Drosophila melanogaster: one gene and its partners. The protein of the gene in region 1 interacts with the protein of each later gene in a pairwise test. Each region holds a gene or a part of one and is shown in the gene's direction. Other genes may lie near its edges.

What was found. Proteins that work in one complex are often made in the same cells at the same time.
Region 2: the proteins of CG8128 (region 1) and CG31038 interact in a two-hybrid assay, tested with the Drosophila melanogaster proteins (one large-scale study listed by BioGRID).
Region 3: the proteins of CG8128 (region 1) and TBC1D23 interact in a two-hybrid assay, tested with the Drosophila melanogaster proteins (one large-scale study listed by BioGRID).

What each region holds. Positions count from the first base shown.
Region 1 is NC_004354.4:15,695,981-15,700,848, forward strand, and holds CG8128 (uncharacterized protein), read left to right. Parts: upstream 1-1,513; 5' UTR 1,514-1,683; intron 1,684-2,052; exon of another isoform or gene 2,053-2,342; 5' UTR 2,343-2,540; coding exon 2,541-2,707; intron 2,708-2,779; coding exon 2,780-2,901; intron 2,902-3,181; coding exon 3,182-3,885; 3' UTR 3,886-4,054; downstream 4,055-4,868. Other genes in the region: CG9240 (uncharacterized protein), read right to left, coding at 4,426-4,827.
Region 2 is NT_033777.3:29,875,083-29,880,331, forward strand, and holds the start of CG31038 (uncharacterized protein), read left to right. Parts: upstream 1-1,976; 5' UTR 1,977-2,033; exon of another isoform or gene 2,034-2,844; 5' UTR 2,845-3,289; coding exon 3,290-4,728; intron 4,729-5,249.
Region 3 is NT_033779.5:1,127,437-1,133,184, forward strand, and holds TBC1D23 (TBC1 domain family member 23), read left to right. Parts: upstream 1-1,879; 5' UTR 1,880-2,052; coding exon 2,053-2,069; intron 2,070-2,382; coding exon 2,383-3,745; intron 3,746-3,827; coding exon 3,828-4,517; 3' UTR 4,518-4,975; downstream 4,976-5,748. Other genes in the region: Pino (pinocchio), read right to left, coding at 693-909; iris, read right to left, coding at 5,042-5,748.

The sequences.
Region 1 (4,868 bases):
TGGAGAGGGGTAACTTTTTTATGTACTCCCTCTTCGCATATTTTTTTTTTTTTGGGAATTTCCCCCCCAAAAAACAAAAAGAAATTGAAAATTGCTAAGCCGGCAATCAAAATACAAACATCAGGCGAAACTCAACGAGTACCATTGTTGTCCAACTGAAGCACCTGAATTTATGGCACAAGGACATACCACCACACACACACACACACACCTCCCCCCCCCACACACACACAACTACCACCCCCCTGGTGAGTCACGGTTTAAATGTGCATTTCGCAACACATTTACGATCCTTTCTACTCGTAATCCCTTCAATCGCGCTCTAAACTGCTAACTGGTTCCTGATTCCCCAGGATTCCTGGTCGCTGGCGCTTTGTTGCTCTAAATAGCCCTTTCCAAATCACTGGACTCGCACAAAGGACTCGCCCTCAATTGCGCAACTATTTCGATTTCAAAAAAAAAAAATCAAATTAAATAAAATAAAATAAGTGAAGAGGAGAGAAATGGGCCAAACTGGGCGCGCAGCCAAAGAGGATATTTAGTTATATATGAAAATAAAGTTTCAAAGGATCTCAACTATAGAATTTGAAGGCACCTATTGGCCTATTAAAACGATTTATACAGATATGTTTCTTTTCGTATTCAAGTAAAGTAAAAAGGCGAAAAAATTAAAAATGGAACAGTAGCTCCAAGATGACCAACGATGACGGTCAAGAGACGGATGCGGGCTCCACAGTCCAAGAAGGTGATATCGTTCTTCAAGAATCATCGCCGCATGCTCCGCAGGCAGGGCATCGAGGATCTGCTGCATCTGGCCGAACGTGGCCACGTCGAACCGATTAGAGATAGAGACTAGGAGATCGGCATCGAATGCTACATATACGGTATTTATTCCACATTTCCATTCAAATTTGAAAAGCTTAGTTTAAGTTCTAGGATTATTGAATTCCTCTTGCATTTAAATATTTTGTAGTCTACTTTTAGCCGTCTTTAAGAACGACTTCAACCCTCTGCTAATCAGAATGTTAATTCTAAAGCTGGTCGCATTTCTTATTAGAATAGCGTTAGATGTTTTGCGTACTCATCAAAAATTTCCCAATTGAATTAATCATTACTTATGCTACTACTTATGCAGCATTGTCCTTCCTGGCATTGACTGTGACTATTACTATATTATTGTAGGAAGGACTGCACGCATACCAAGAGCGCGATAAATAGCGATGACAGCAGCGAATTTTCCCGCAACGAAGCCGACGACCAGCGAACTTAAGCTCTTTTGGCCATCTAAAGGATGGAAACATTCGATATATTAGCCAAGCCGCTAGCCAGTAACTTATATAACCCATATTAGCTATTTCAAGATTTAATAAATTGTTCCGGAGGCCATATATTTAAAAAATGTTGGTTTGCTCATATTTGATTTTTAACCATTACATATAAGGCTGAACAGCTTTTTCTAGCCAGGCTGGCAGCACTGCCGGATCAGCTGACTGACTTTTCTGTGTGCGCGCCATCCCTAGAAATTAACGTGCTAGTGGAAGTGGAAGCGAATTGAAATCGCGCGCTGCTCTATTCGCTTGTTTATGCCAAAGTCCATGGCTACATTGGATCGGATCTGTAATTAGTCGTCTGGAGGAACTGGACGGATTGGCTCAGTGACACCATTAGCCATTGACTTTTCTAGTGAGTTCGAGTTCCACACAATGTTCTATTCTAGCGCAGATATGGAATAAAAAAAAATATATTTGGCTTGGTTTGTTATGTAAAACGCGTATCAATTCTCTGGCGCGTTGATAACAGCAGCAATTCAGTTGATAAACAAACACAAAACCCATGCGGAAACAATTGAAACGACCCCACACCCCAACACCGCCACCCACCACCCACACGCACCTTGGGTTGTCGCTCAAGGTTGCGCTAGAGATGAGCAGGAAGCAGTGACTGCTATCGTGATTGCCATTAATATTAGTATTAGTATTAGTATAGTGATAACACAGTTTTTTATATATATGTACATATATAGTGATACTTTCAGTTGAATCTATATTTTAGTTTCATTATACTCATGTCACCGGTTTTCTGTCAAAGTCACACTGTTCTGCGCATCTCTATCGCCACTATTTGTTACTGACGTTAGCGCCAAATTCGAAATGTCAAGAACAGAAATCCGAACGTAACAGCGGCCATATCGCTTATCTAGCGACGGCGGCAGATAGTGGCAACCTGCTCCTCCGTCTCGCTCTGCTCCGCCCATCGCAGCAGATTTGCATCGTTGTTTGGAGCCATGCGGCTATTTCACCTCTTTCACCTGTCTGTTTGCCTCGTTTCACACACACACACAGCATGCCCAGGAATTGGCTTCACCTCGCATTGTGGATAAACTGAGACGGTAAAGTCGTTGTCGCCGCCACCGCCTCCGCCACGCCCACCAAGCGGACAGCACCCAGATCTCCGGTTGCGAACTAGTAGTGACGCCAACGTGGTCGATCGCCGTCGTCGTCATCAACAACGTTGTGTTCGTCGAACTGTGAGATTATTTAATGTTGGCCACCGGTTTTCTGGCTCGCAGAACCGTACTTAACCAGCCGGCGTTCAATTCATGGAGCACACTCCTCCGGACCGCTAGAAAACGACCCACATCCACGGTTGCCGCCAGAGTTCCATTAAAGCTTCAGTCACAGCAGCAATTTACAAGAGCATACTCGTCGTAAGAATTGAAAGATGTACATACATATGTATTTAACACATGATTGAAAACTATTTGTATCCCACGATTTAGCTCCAAAACCATGGACACGCCGGCGGATGTATTCCGCGGCATTACGGATCGATTTGCCGGAGTAACAGTCGATGGGCGCGAGGAGAACGTGGACAAATCCAGTTTCCGGGACAAGCTCACAAGTAAGAATATATATCTTAAAATATGTCGGTATCTTTGCCTGGACGTATATTTTTTGTATCATTGTATCTTCTAAGTCTTCGTGCTATCATAAGTTGATTAAAAGTTTATCTATCTAAAGTTGGGGTACTAAATTAAATTTCCAAAATCATTGCTCTCCACTTTTATCAATTTAAAAGTTGTCTATGACTATAAATAGTCATAGACAATAAACGGCTTATAATTTTAATTAAATCTGTGTCACCAATTACCAAATTATATTAATAACGAAATACCTTTTAGAATCCCTGGACTTTTGGACGACGAACAAGAACCGGGCCATTTGGTTCCGCGTGTACAAGGAGCAGGCTGATTGGGTGCCCATTCTGGCGGAGAACGGCTTTGATTTCCATCATGCCAAGACCGGTGTGGTGGTCATGTACCGCTGGTTGCCGGAGCACGAGTCTAGCAACCTACCCACCTACGCCCACACGCTAATGGGCGTCGGCGGACTGGTTATCAACGAACAGGACGAGGTGCTGGTGGTGTCCGATCGTTTTGCAATGATACCAAACAGCTGGAAGCTGCCCGGCGGCTATGTGGAGCCGCGGGAGAATCTCATCGATGCGGCAATACGAGAGGTGGCCGAGGAGACGGGAATCCGCACCGAATTCCGCTCAGTGGTCAGTCTGCGGCATGCCCATGGCGGCACCTTCGGCTGCTCCGACATGTACGTGGTCATCGCCCTAAAGCCACTGAATTTGGACTTTACGCGCTGCGAACGCGAGATAGCGCGCATCCAGTGGATGCCCATCGCGGAGTATCTGAAGCATCCGCAGGTCCACGAGACGAACAGGCAGTTCGTCTGCACCTTTTTGGACTACCAGAAGCGCGGCCTGACCCTCACCTGTCGCGACGAAGTGCATCAGGTGCTAAAGAAGAAATACAATCTGTATTACGTGGATCGGGAGCAGCCACAGGAGCAGCAGGATAAAAAGAATTCGTGAGACTTGTCGGTGCAATGGCCAAATCCTTAGTGCAATTTTTATAAAGTCCTTTCTTCCAAAAGCCAGCAGCATCACAACTGCGCATTCAAATGTTCACAATGTAGTCAATAAATGAATTTTTTTGTATATAATTATATGCATATATCAATTAAAGCTCACACAGCCTTTTACAAAAGCTTTTCTTTTGATACCATTTTTAGAAACGCCAATAATTTAAAATATGGCATTATTTTGAATATGACGCCCAAACATGGTAAATACTTCCTTAGAAGGTAAGCCAATAAGGATTAAGGATGTAAGCTTCATACTTTGAAAAATATGTTTATTAAAAACAAAAATGAAAAGAAATTATTATTCTCTCCTGTTTTTTTCAACTTATTTTCAATGATATGCAAAAACCAGAAGTCGCACAAATGAGACGAAACTCGCATACGTAATGATTCTAAAAAGTTGTGGTTTGATGTACTATAATTTCCAAACGAAACATAGGCCATTTATTGGGTCAAGTTGATTTTAAACTCTTTGTTGTACGAATGCCATCTATAGACCCGTGGCCTCGGATATCGGCCAGATGCGGCAGAGCACGCGGCTCCGGATGAGGCCCACCGGAATGGGTCCGTAGTAGCGGGAATCCGAGCTGTTTCCCTTGTTGTCACCCTCAATCCAAACGTGTCCGCGCGGCACATAGTCCTTGACCATCACGGGCTTCTTCTTGTCATCCGAATTACCACTAAACTCCGCCTCAATGGGAATGGGCTTCTGGATTAGCACCTGATCACCGGAAACGGCCACGATACGCTTGCAAATGAACTGATCGGCTTTGATGGGCGATATGGCGATGACTATGTCGCCGGGCTGGTAGGTTCGCCAGTGTTTCGACAAGCGCTCGGTGAGAAGAACGTTGTCCGAGTGCAGGGTGGGCTCCATGGAGGGTCCTTTGCACTGGAAATGGTTGCATTAATGTGAGTGTACGTACTTTTCCG
Region 2 (5,249 bases), on another chromosome or scaffold:
AGTCTTAACCTAACTAACCTATTATAATTAACTTTTAAATGATATATATTTTGTGTAAAGTAAATATGTGCAACCAGGACGCTAAATGTAACTTTAATTCTACCAACGAAACTTACGTTGGCGGGGGTTTGGTTTTGAAGTGCTTCCGGATTAGAGTACGTCTAAACATTCATTCCTCCAGCCAGGCATGGTATTTAGCAAAGCTTAACCTTCATATTTGGGGCTTCCTGAGGTGCGAGCTGGTTGAAAGTTAAGTAGCTGGCAAAGTAAACAGGCGGTTGTAATTCTATACTGATACTGCAGACATTCGTAAATCTTAGGTATTATAATTCCGGGAAGGGATGACGTATAGATAATTAATGAGGGAGCAAGTGAAATGCAAGACTTGAGTGGAACAGCCTTCGGTTTGAATGGTTTGACTCCCTTTGACTGCCTTTTTGCCGTCCCGCCTGATTTGCATAGTTTGGGGCTGACCGTCTACTCGCTCAATAATGAATGCGTCAGTTTCAAATGGCATTACCCCCGAAAACGAAGTTGATAGTCTGCGACAAGTAGTATGTGCAATGCTATGTGGCACCATAAATAACGTGGCCATTCTAGTGTCGCATTCTGGGTCCTTTTGCTTAGCAATGACAATAGTAAAAGTGCTGAAAGGGAAGCACGATTAGAGCTATTACTTACACTGGCTATGTTTATGTTTTTATATGTACTGTATGCATTCATGGCGCAGCAATTCTGCAAAATTTCTGCATATTTGTTAGGGTGGACCTGAGTTGTACTCATGAGTACTCATACAAATCACTCATACGTAGTGTGGACCTTTTCATTTGATTTTCACAAGGAAAGGCATGTCAGTATCCAAAAGCAATATTAAGTAAAATAAATGTCCTGGTTGGGATCTTACTTTCTCCATAAAAATAAAGTCATGGGATGTTTCCGAAAGAGGAATCGTGTTAGGAATCTATGTTAGCTTGCCTAACAGGTCGTATGAGTAATTTATTAAACGCTTGGCTTTCTTGTTATATCTGATCATTAACTTGTATATAGGCTATGATTCCCCATGAAAGTCCACCCTACGGCACGTACTCCGGTACTTGCACAGGCAATCAATAAAGATTTTTTTTTGGGGAGTTCGGGTGGCGGGTGCTTTGTCGCGATGCGGCAACAACAGCTGTTGCAACGCCAGACGACCCCCCAAAAAAAGGAAAACCGAGCAGCAGCCAGACGCCGGCAACCGGGGAACCTCATCATCGTCATCGTACTCCAGCACCACCCGTTTCAAGAAGCAATCAATGCACTTCTGGCCATGTGCCAAGTTTCTCTTCCGAAAACCTGGAGAGGAGCAGAGAATCGGCCAAAAGAGAGGAGCAGCGGTGTATAAGAGCTGGTTGGGTTCCATTCGGTTGCGGTTGAAAAGCTAAAGTTAATTTAAAGTTCAACCCGTTTGGTTTCTAACTTTTCGGAACTTTAACCGTGTATTTTGGGTTTGGTTTATATAGTTTGGTACAGTAGTAAAAGATACGAAACATTTGCGTTGAAATCAATTTCAAATTGTTGTTTAATTAAGAAGCCAAGTTCCTTATTTACGTAGGTGCTCACAGTGGAATATAAGAAATAATTGTTCCTAAAATAATCCTTTGTACACGAATACAAGAACTTACTCAATAGTTTAAAATGCTTACCTATATTTTTGTAACGAAATATAATTCATTTTACATACAAATAAAAATAAACCGAATTTATTTGCATTCAGCTTGGTAAATAATAGAGTAACTGCGTGACTGCATGCGATGCAAAATTATCTTTGAAGTGCAGACTTTTCGAGTTGTGCCGCGTCACTCGTTTACCCAAGGCACCCACACTGTCGCACTCGCAGACACACACACACACGCATACCAGTGCGGCCGTGTAGCAACAACAATGTTGAGCAAGGTGCGCTGAGCCTCGCTCTTTCGAATCTTTCTCTCCGTTTCGGTTTCAGTTCACTTCTGGCTCTCGTGCAAAGCGCATCGTACAGCGGATATATCGCATCTGTATCGTATCGTAAAACGAATCGTATTCGCATCCGTGTCGGTCGCATCTGCGTGCTAGTGTGTGTGAGTGTGCCCGGGTGTGTGCGAGTTGGTGTGTCCGCTGCAATGGTCTTGGCTATTTGAAGCGCAAAAGTGCAGTATTTACTGTTTGGTGATTCACTCAATCATTAGAATACCCAAGAGATAACTATCATATCTTGGGGTTTTCCCAACGAACCGATCCGATAAAATGGAAACCCTGTAAACTCATGCTCCCCCGCCTTAAAAATCGGTTCAGTGATTTACGTGTGGGTGTGGGTGCAGTGCTTAAATTATACACGTAAAATTTAAACAAATAAAGGCTGTTAAAAAATCGTAAACTCGAGATCCAGCTAGTGCCGAATTCAGTGCTAAAGTGAAACTTCTTTGTGCAAACAACAAAAACCGTTAATTGCCAGCGCCATTCTTTTAAAGGCCCCGACTTATAAAGAGTGTTTTCAGTGCCTATATGGTTTTACTTAAGTCTTTTGTTTATCGTTGTACCCATATTGTTTTCAGTTTATCAATATATAGATAATTATCTAAATGGAGGAGCTTTGTTAATTGATATAACAAGCCTTAAGCGTTAATGTTCCCATCTCATAGGTCCAAGTCAGAAAACCAATCCCCTTTCACTTTAAACAGATCAGAATCCAAGGATTAGGTCGCTTATTCTTTTTCCAAACTAATGAACAATTAAATGGCACGGCGTTGTTGGTCGCAAAGTTTCCATTGCCCGATGCAGAGACCCAAAACCAAAATAAACGGAACCCTTTCACTTTAAAATCCACAGAACCCCAAAGATCGAAAACGAGTTTCGCAAAAGAGCAAAGAGCCGAGCGGCGGCCATGCTTATATTCCATATCGAATAACTGAATAGCCGACCAATAAAGTGTTACTTGGCACATCCAACATCCAACGTTCAACTAGCAATCCAACTTACAATATCCAGCATCCAACTAGCTCCGTTGCATTGGCCTATATTCAAAATAGATCAGAGATCGACTCGAGAGACCGGAGGAGATGTGGATGAGGTGGTGACGAGGAGCTGCGGAGGAGATCGCCATGTGAGAAGAGCAAAACTAGTTTCCCATTTGCGCGCTTATGCTAAGTAATAATAATAAATAAGCGCAGTAGTCTCTGGCTTGCCGTTCGAGAAGTGACCTAAAAATACTGGTTTCGAGTGCGGTTTTGGCGTGAGAACGTGTAGCACAGCGAAGGCACCACCACCACCACCAATGGCCACCACAGCCGCCGGATCAGCAGCCACCACCACCAACACGATGGTGGTGAAGCGGCCAGGACCACCAGTGCCGCCCAGGCCCAAAGCAGCAGCTCAGCTGGCCAATGGAGCAGGAGCCCCTCCGATCATTCAGAAGAAGCCCACCTTCGTGAGCCAGCTGAGTGCAGTGGGTCGTACCTTGGTCTACAAGTCGCCAACGGTCAATCTGCCCAAGAAACAGGCCCAGACCCAGACGCCCACCACGGCGGTGCCAACGCCGCCGGTGAAGCCCCTGAAGCTGCGCAAGGCACCGGATGTGCCCACGGCCAAGCCCAGGGATTCAATGACCTCGGTGGTCACGGTCAACCGGCATAACTCGATAAGCGTGATCGGGAGCACGCCACAGACCACACCCCGCAAGGACACCCGCTTGAGCCTGGGAAAGGTGGACTTCGAGAGGGCGGGCCTCCAGCCGGCCAGTCAGCCACTTCCCAGGCCACGGAAAATTGTTCAAGTGCCCGTGGCCACTCTAGATGTGGAAGACATACCAGTGGTGGCTCCCAGCCCATCATCAAATGGACTCTTCAGGCGATCAAAGACCACCCTGGATGGCAGCCAGAAGGATTCGGCATCCTCCCCGCACAATGGAGGAGGATTCCTGTCCGGACGGACCGTGGAGATCAAGAATAATCTGAAGAACGCCGCCGAGCGTTTGTTCTCGGAGATAATCATCAACCAGAGCCAGAAACAGGCAGCCACCGACACCACCATCATAACCAAGCACGAGGCCCTGAAGCAGGAGTCCGATGTCCTGGCCATCCAGTCATCGGGCAACTGCATGAGGATCAATGTTAACGGCGGCCAGACGAGCACCATGAAGAGCTCGATCAGCGTGGGCAACACGCCGCAAAAGAAGCAAGCCTTCCACGAGATGCTCATCTCGGAGCTGGCTGCCATGCGGAACAAGTCCTGCTCCCTGGAGCAGCTACCCACCGCCAAGTCGCCGCCACCCACCACTTCCACGCCCAAAAGCGTGGCATCTCGCAGGCGCTACAACTCTATAGATGATGCCGACACCGAGGATGTGGATGCGGACAACGTGGAGGATGCCGATGGTGACGTCGACGAGGAGGACACCCTCACCTACGCAGTCAATAAATCGCTGAAGGAGAACATTGGCAAGGAGGGCTCGTCCTCGAGGAAGCGCTGCCCCTCGGGCTGCTCCACAGACTCCTCGCCCTACGGAACCGAGCGATCCCAGCGCATCCGCACCTCGGATTGGATCGAGGTGGGCGACAACGGCACGGCAGTTACTCTGACTAGCTGCCACATCAGCCTGGAGGACTCGGGCATGGAGGACGAGGAGCGGCTGGACGACATGTCCTCGGGAGTGGGCGACAGCTGGGACAGCGTCAAGGAGGCCGAGAGCGAGAAGCGTTCTCGCAACGGAAAGCGGTGAGTCTCGAAACTATTACTATAATTAAAATTATATCTAGTAAGTGCATCTAATGAGATTCGTTGATAATGAAGGAACAGATAGTTTTAGCATCCATAAATGAAGCTATAACATTATTTATTGCTATTGCCGTTCATTAAACGTTAATGAGTATGGAAATTAGCTGTTTGCCGAGGGAAAACAAAATCTTGACCATCAATTGAAGATCTTTAAAAACGGCCCCATACGTTGGAGGTCGTAATAGTTTCGAGCTGAGCCCGATCATCCAAGATCGCCCATTGCTACCGCAATTATTTCACCGAGTTTCGCTGGGCTCCATTGACATGGTTTTGATCGGCTGTGCGCATCCCACGGAATCCGCATCCGAATCGCGGTCCAAGTCCCAATCCCGAGCACCTCTTCATCGTCAGGTGCTCCATTGTTGTGCAGCTCGCATCCAAGTGAGATCTCTCACAGCAGCGGGTTTGGCTTACATTAATTTATCTCTGCTGACATCATTCCGAGTGTGGCTTGCTGCTTG
Region 3 (5,748 bases), on another chromosome or scaffold:
CATTCCGCAGCCGATGAAGCGAAGGAGAGGCATGATCGGCTGGAGAGGCTTGTCCGATTCGCTTCGATCCGATCCGCAGTCACATGACAAACGCGTGAATTGGGCGTTCTGAGTTCTGGGTGACAAGCGAAACGTGTGAATAGGCTAGTCGCACGACCCGCTTGTACGTCTAATCAGATGGCAGATAAACGGGCAAACGGGCAAAACAATTAGCCCCACTGGGAGCCCACTCTCTCATCCATTTCGAATGGTAATTGATGGATCGGCCAATTTTCGTGGGATGCGTACGGGTACGTGCTAAAAACAGCACGGAATGGTACTAATTTTAAATGGAACTCTTTGGGGAAGACAGAGTGTTGGCTATTCCGGGATTGTAAAATTGATGGCCCCTGCTTATAGGCGACCGACCCACTATCAATGCCATTCGAAGATAAAGCCGGAGTGTATGGGCATTAATAAAAGTGTACGGCAGTTTCCGCCCGATCGGACAAAAGCCGGGACTCCAAGAGACGGGAAAACCACTTGGCGATAAGCCGATGCAGCTAGTACAAAGGTGCGACTAGCGTTTTCCGCTGCTCAATTAGTGGGCTTCGCTACGGCTAATCGTAAATAACATAGATTACTCCGATGTCTAGACTATAAATATAATCGGGTGGCTAATTATATGTACGAACTCGCTATGGCGCACTCACCTATGAAGTTCAGCTTGTCGGTGGCCAGATTGCAAAAGTCGGGATCGTCCACATCGAAAATGATGCCATCCTCCCACTCGGTGACAATGTGAGACGAGGAGACGGAAACGGAAGTGGTGGAGCGTTGCTGCTGCTGTTGCACCAATGAGCTGTTGTTGTTGTTGTTGCTGCTGCTGCTGCTGGCGGAGATGTGGTTGTTGTTGCTGCCCGTTTTCATCTCCATAAGGGTAAGAGAAACGCAATTAGAGGATTCCTTGGCTAAGCAGATACGTGCTGGCATGCAAACAGCAAAAAGTACACACGTGGCTTAAAGCGCAGCTTGTGTTGATTGGCCAAGTGTTTGGATAAAGGGGGGTGGGGGGGTGGTTGATAACACAGTCAAGGGGGAGGGGAGCAGGCACACAGCTGTTGCACGCTTACCCCTCCCCGCACTTCTTACAACACTTCTTTGCACAAGTGCAACATGCAAATCAATAGATGCAAGCTAAATTTTATTTGGGTGAAGGCTACATGTGTGTGAGTGTGTGTTTGCATGCATGAGTGAGCAATTGCATTCGCTTCGTGTATTTGTTGCTGTTATTGCTTTTGCAAATTTTGTTTGGTCTCCATACATGTGTGTTTGCATGGAAATGCCTAAAATCTGTGTTACGTGTGCTGGCCTCTAAGCTCACTCACCTTTATACTAGCAGCACGCTCAGTCGACCAGCTTGAAGTTAAGTATCCAAATTTAGGCCAACGCAACCGAATTTTAAGTTAAATTTGGATAAAATTCAGGCAAAACAAAACTTTGCTTGCAAAATTGCTGGCAACTAGAGGTGGTCAGCTGTCGATTATCGTAGTTGGCAACACTAATCGATAGGACAGAAAGCGTTATGCATTTCAACTTCAATGTTCAAATGAACAAACTAAAATTTTCTATTCTCTTTTGATACCTGTAATATGAAAATAATATAGATAGTTTGCTTAGATCCCGCTGAATAACCTTATATATATATAACAATATAACTTAAATTTATTTTCTAATTTGTTATCTCAAATTTTAGCATTCTGACAAGTATCAAGTTTGTAATCATTTTTAACGATTTATTACAAATATCTTAATACAATTGTATTGTTAGTTCATATGCACACTGCCATCTCTAACGTGCGCCGTGGCAGACGTAAGCACCTCCCATCGCTATAAACGTAACCATCATAACGTAACCAAAATTCGATCAAAATAAATTTGGAATATCACAAAAATCATTATTCGCACCTGGAACAGAAAGAAAATGCACCAGCCTGGCCTTCTGCAGCTGAATAGATTGCACTAAGGCAGCATTTCGAATCCGAAACGTAGGAACTAGCCCACAGCGAAATCATGGAGGAGAATATGTGGTAAATAATAAACATTGGGTTGGGGCTACGTCAACAACTAAGATTAGTCAGAGAGTCTAGAGATTCAGCTCCAGCACCTCATTTTCTTTGGCATCCATCGCCTTTGGCTTTCTCGAACAGACCACCATTTGTTTCGCTGATTGAGTCAGCAGCTTGGTGCTGGGCCAGCGGGACGCGGAGCACCTGGGGGTGTGGGTGCTCCGCCTTATCAGCAGCTGGTTATTTAGACACGTTGACGTCCCCTTCACCCGTAGCATGAGCAGAACAAGTACCAAGCAACTGATTGTGATGGACATCCCTCTCTTGTATGCAGGATCATTGAGCTGGAGTCGGCACTGCTGGACGACTGCACTGTCAACGACATCTACGGCATATGCCAGGGCAAGGCTCTGCCGGAGGCACTGCGTCCGGACGTGTGGCAAGTGTGCCTGGATGTGCGCCACAAATCGGATCAAATGTCGCTCTTCAACGAGATCTACGACCTGCCCTTCCAAAGCCAACTGCGCGAGGATTGCCAGCGGCACGTCGATCGCATGGGCAACGATGAGGAGGACAAGGTCTCGGTGGTATCCGACCTCGAGTCCATCATCACCTTCTACTGCAAGAACAGAAACCTTCAGTATGAGCCGGACAACGGATGGATTGAATTGCTGCTCCCGCTGTTCGCCCTGAAGCTGAATCGCTCCGACACATTCAACCTGTTCGAGTCCATACGAGACACGTACATACCCAAGGGTTGCCGGCCCAAGGGCAATGTCTTTCATGTCTTCCGACTGCTCCTGCTTTACCACGATCCGGAGCTGTGCACGCTGCTGGACACCAAGAAGATCACGCCCGACTTGTACTCGCTGACCTGGTTCCAGTCGCTTTTCGCCTCCTGCAGCAGCCTGTCAGTGATCATTGCCATGTGGGACCTGTACTTTCAGAACGCCGATCCCTTCATGGTCTTCTTCCTGGCGCTAATAATCTTGATCAACGGCAGGGAGCAGATCCTGCAGATGAGGAGCTCGTCCAAGGAGGAGATCATCAAGTTCCTGAGCCTTATGCCGTGCGCCCTGGAGTTCGACGACGTCCCCGACTTTTGCTCCCTGGCCCAGTACTACGCGCTCAAGACACCAACTTCCTTCAAGACGGACTATCTGAAGGCGCTGTACGGCAAGCAGAATGATACACCGCGCAGCCAGGAGGAGGCAAACAAGGTATCACAGGCCCTGTGCCTGCCCGTCTCCGTTTACGAGCTGGTAGAGAACTCGGCCACAGAGTTTCCTGTGCCGGATGCAGTGCGTTTCTTTCTCGTTGACTGCCGCCCGGCCGAGCAATACAACGCCGGCCACCTGTCCACGGCATTCCATCTGGACTGCAACCTCATGCTCCAGGAACCTGTCGCCTTTGCCACCGCCGTCCAGGGCCTCCTGACCGCCCAGCGGCAGGCCATCGAGGCCAACTCGAACGCCGGCGGCGAGCATCTGTGCTTCATGGGCAGCGGTCGCGTCGAAGAGGACCAGTACACACACATGGTGGTGGCCTCGTTCCTGCAGAAGAACACCCACTACGTGTCGCTGCTGACCGGTGGCTACGCCTCCATCCACGACTACTTCGGCGATCAAATGGCCGATTGCCTGGAGGATCACAATGCGCGCAAGTGCCTCGTCTGCCAGCAGCACAACGCGCAGCAGGTAAGACTTCGATAACTCAGGAAATGTACAATACTTTGAATCGAATTAGTATACTTATAATTTCTCAATTCCGCTCCTGCAGACTAAATCAGCGCCGCTTAAGACTTCGACGCCATCCTCTACAGACCTATTCAGCAAGTTCTCCGCCGCCATGAAGTCAAAGTCTGCCGAGGTCAAGGGCAAACTACTAGACATTATCGTGAATCCCAGTGCAAATGGCGGAGCCACGGCTAGCGGCACCAATGGTGTGCCATCGGCGCCGGTGCAAGAGCGCCATGTTAGTGCAAAGGAGCGGAACGGCAAGCGCTACCGCAATGTGGCACCTGTGTTCAGCATCGACGATGAGAACGAGGATGCCTTGGACGGGGCGGGGGAGCGGGATGACGCACCGCTGACCAGCGACGGCAAGGAGATCGTGAATCTGAACCAGTACTTCAAGACGGCGGACATCATCAACGCCTTCAAGTGCCAGGAGGTGCACATGAGCGGCTACATGTACGACAGTCATTTGATCATCACGCCCGGGCAACTGGTGGTGCTGCGGGAACTGGGACGCGGCCAGGCGCAGATAATGGTGCGTCGCCCGCTGGCGAGCATCGTGAAGATCACGGCCAAGAAGCGACACCGCGACCTCATCACGTTCAAGTACGGATTCCCCGATGGCGATGGTCTGCTCATAACCGACATGGACCGCTTCCTCATACCAAATGCGGCCGAAGTTACGGCACTGATTTCAAGGCTCATCGTGCAGGTGCTTGACGACGCCAAGTAGGATAAACCGGACAACCGCCGCATGCTCTTCTTGTTTCCGCCTTTCCGCATCAAGCTTTATTTCATGAACGGCCACTGATACAAAAATCAGAGACACAAAGTGCAATGCGCCGCTGCGAGCGGTGTAATAGTTTGTAATTGGCATTGTTTTCCTTGTATTAGCTGAAATAGTATAGTTCTTATTGTAAACGAAGCGCTGGCTGCAATTGTAACATAGTGCACTCGGTGCAGAGACCGGATTTGAAGAAAATAGTCGAACGTAGTCCCAGATCACATGGCCATCCCGAGCATGCCACGCCCCCGATCCCAATTTTCTAAATTTCTAAGTGCGAATAAGGAACCCTTACCGAAGCCCTGAGACTTACAACGTGTACATGATGAGAGTAACTAATATTTATTGCAATCAAACCAAACAAATAAAACTGTATTATAATCGACACAAAAAATTGTTAAAAAATCATAGCTCTCTTTGAAATTTCATCGGAACTTAACAGATGCACCACGCAGCCGCATCTTCTTTTTTTTTTAGATTTCATGTTTTTCCAGCAGCGGAAGATTGCAGGTTGTGGTGCGATTCTGTGGATCCTGGAGACCATTGACTTCGTTGACAAGATTTTGAGCCTGCGCAAGTTGTTTGCTCCGATGGGTGCGATATAACCAGGTCGCCGAAACAAGTAAGGCGACCAGCAATATGGCTGCGCACACAGCTACTACTACTACGACTACCATTGGGTAATCTCGGACTGCTTCCAGCTTTTTCTGATTCAGCTCCAGTTTGCCCACGATCGCCAGGAGTTGATTAAATGATTCCAAGGTCACGGATTCCTGGGAAGATTTTGGTTCCTTCTGCAGCGTTGCGTAACCTGCTTTCGAAGGAACTCTTTCCCGGACTTCTCCACGGAGGGCGACAGCTGGACTGCGCACGGCACAGTCGCTTTGAATGCTCAGGATTCCACTGCCATTCAATTGGAGCTCCTGCCTCTCACCGGAGCACACTCCTATTAAAGTTAGCTCATTGGTAAGGGCCACCATCCAGGAGTTTGGTGCCACCATCTCTGTCCACAGACTCTTCTCCTTCACTTGACGCAAGGTGCAGACTTCGGAAGACTGGTTCCGTATGGCCGCCAGGGAGCAGGCAAAACTGTCATCCCCAGTCCCGTAGATAATGCGGTTGCGCCTGCAGATGAACCTTTCTTCGCCCAACTTGATGCAGTCGTCCAAGCTCTGAAGCG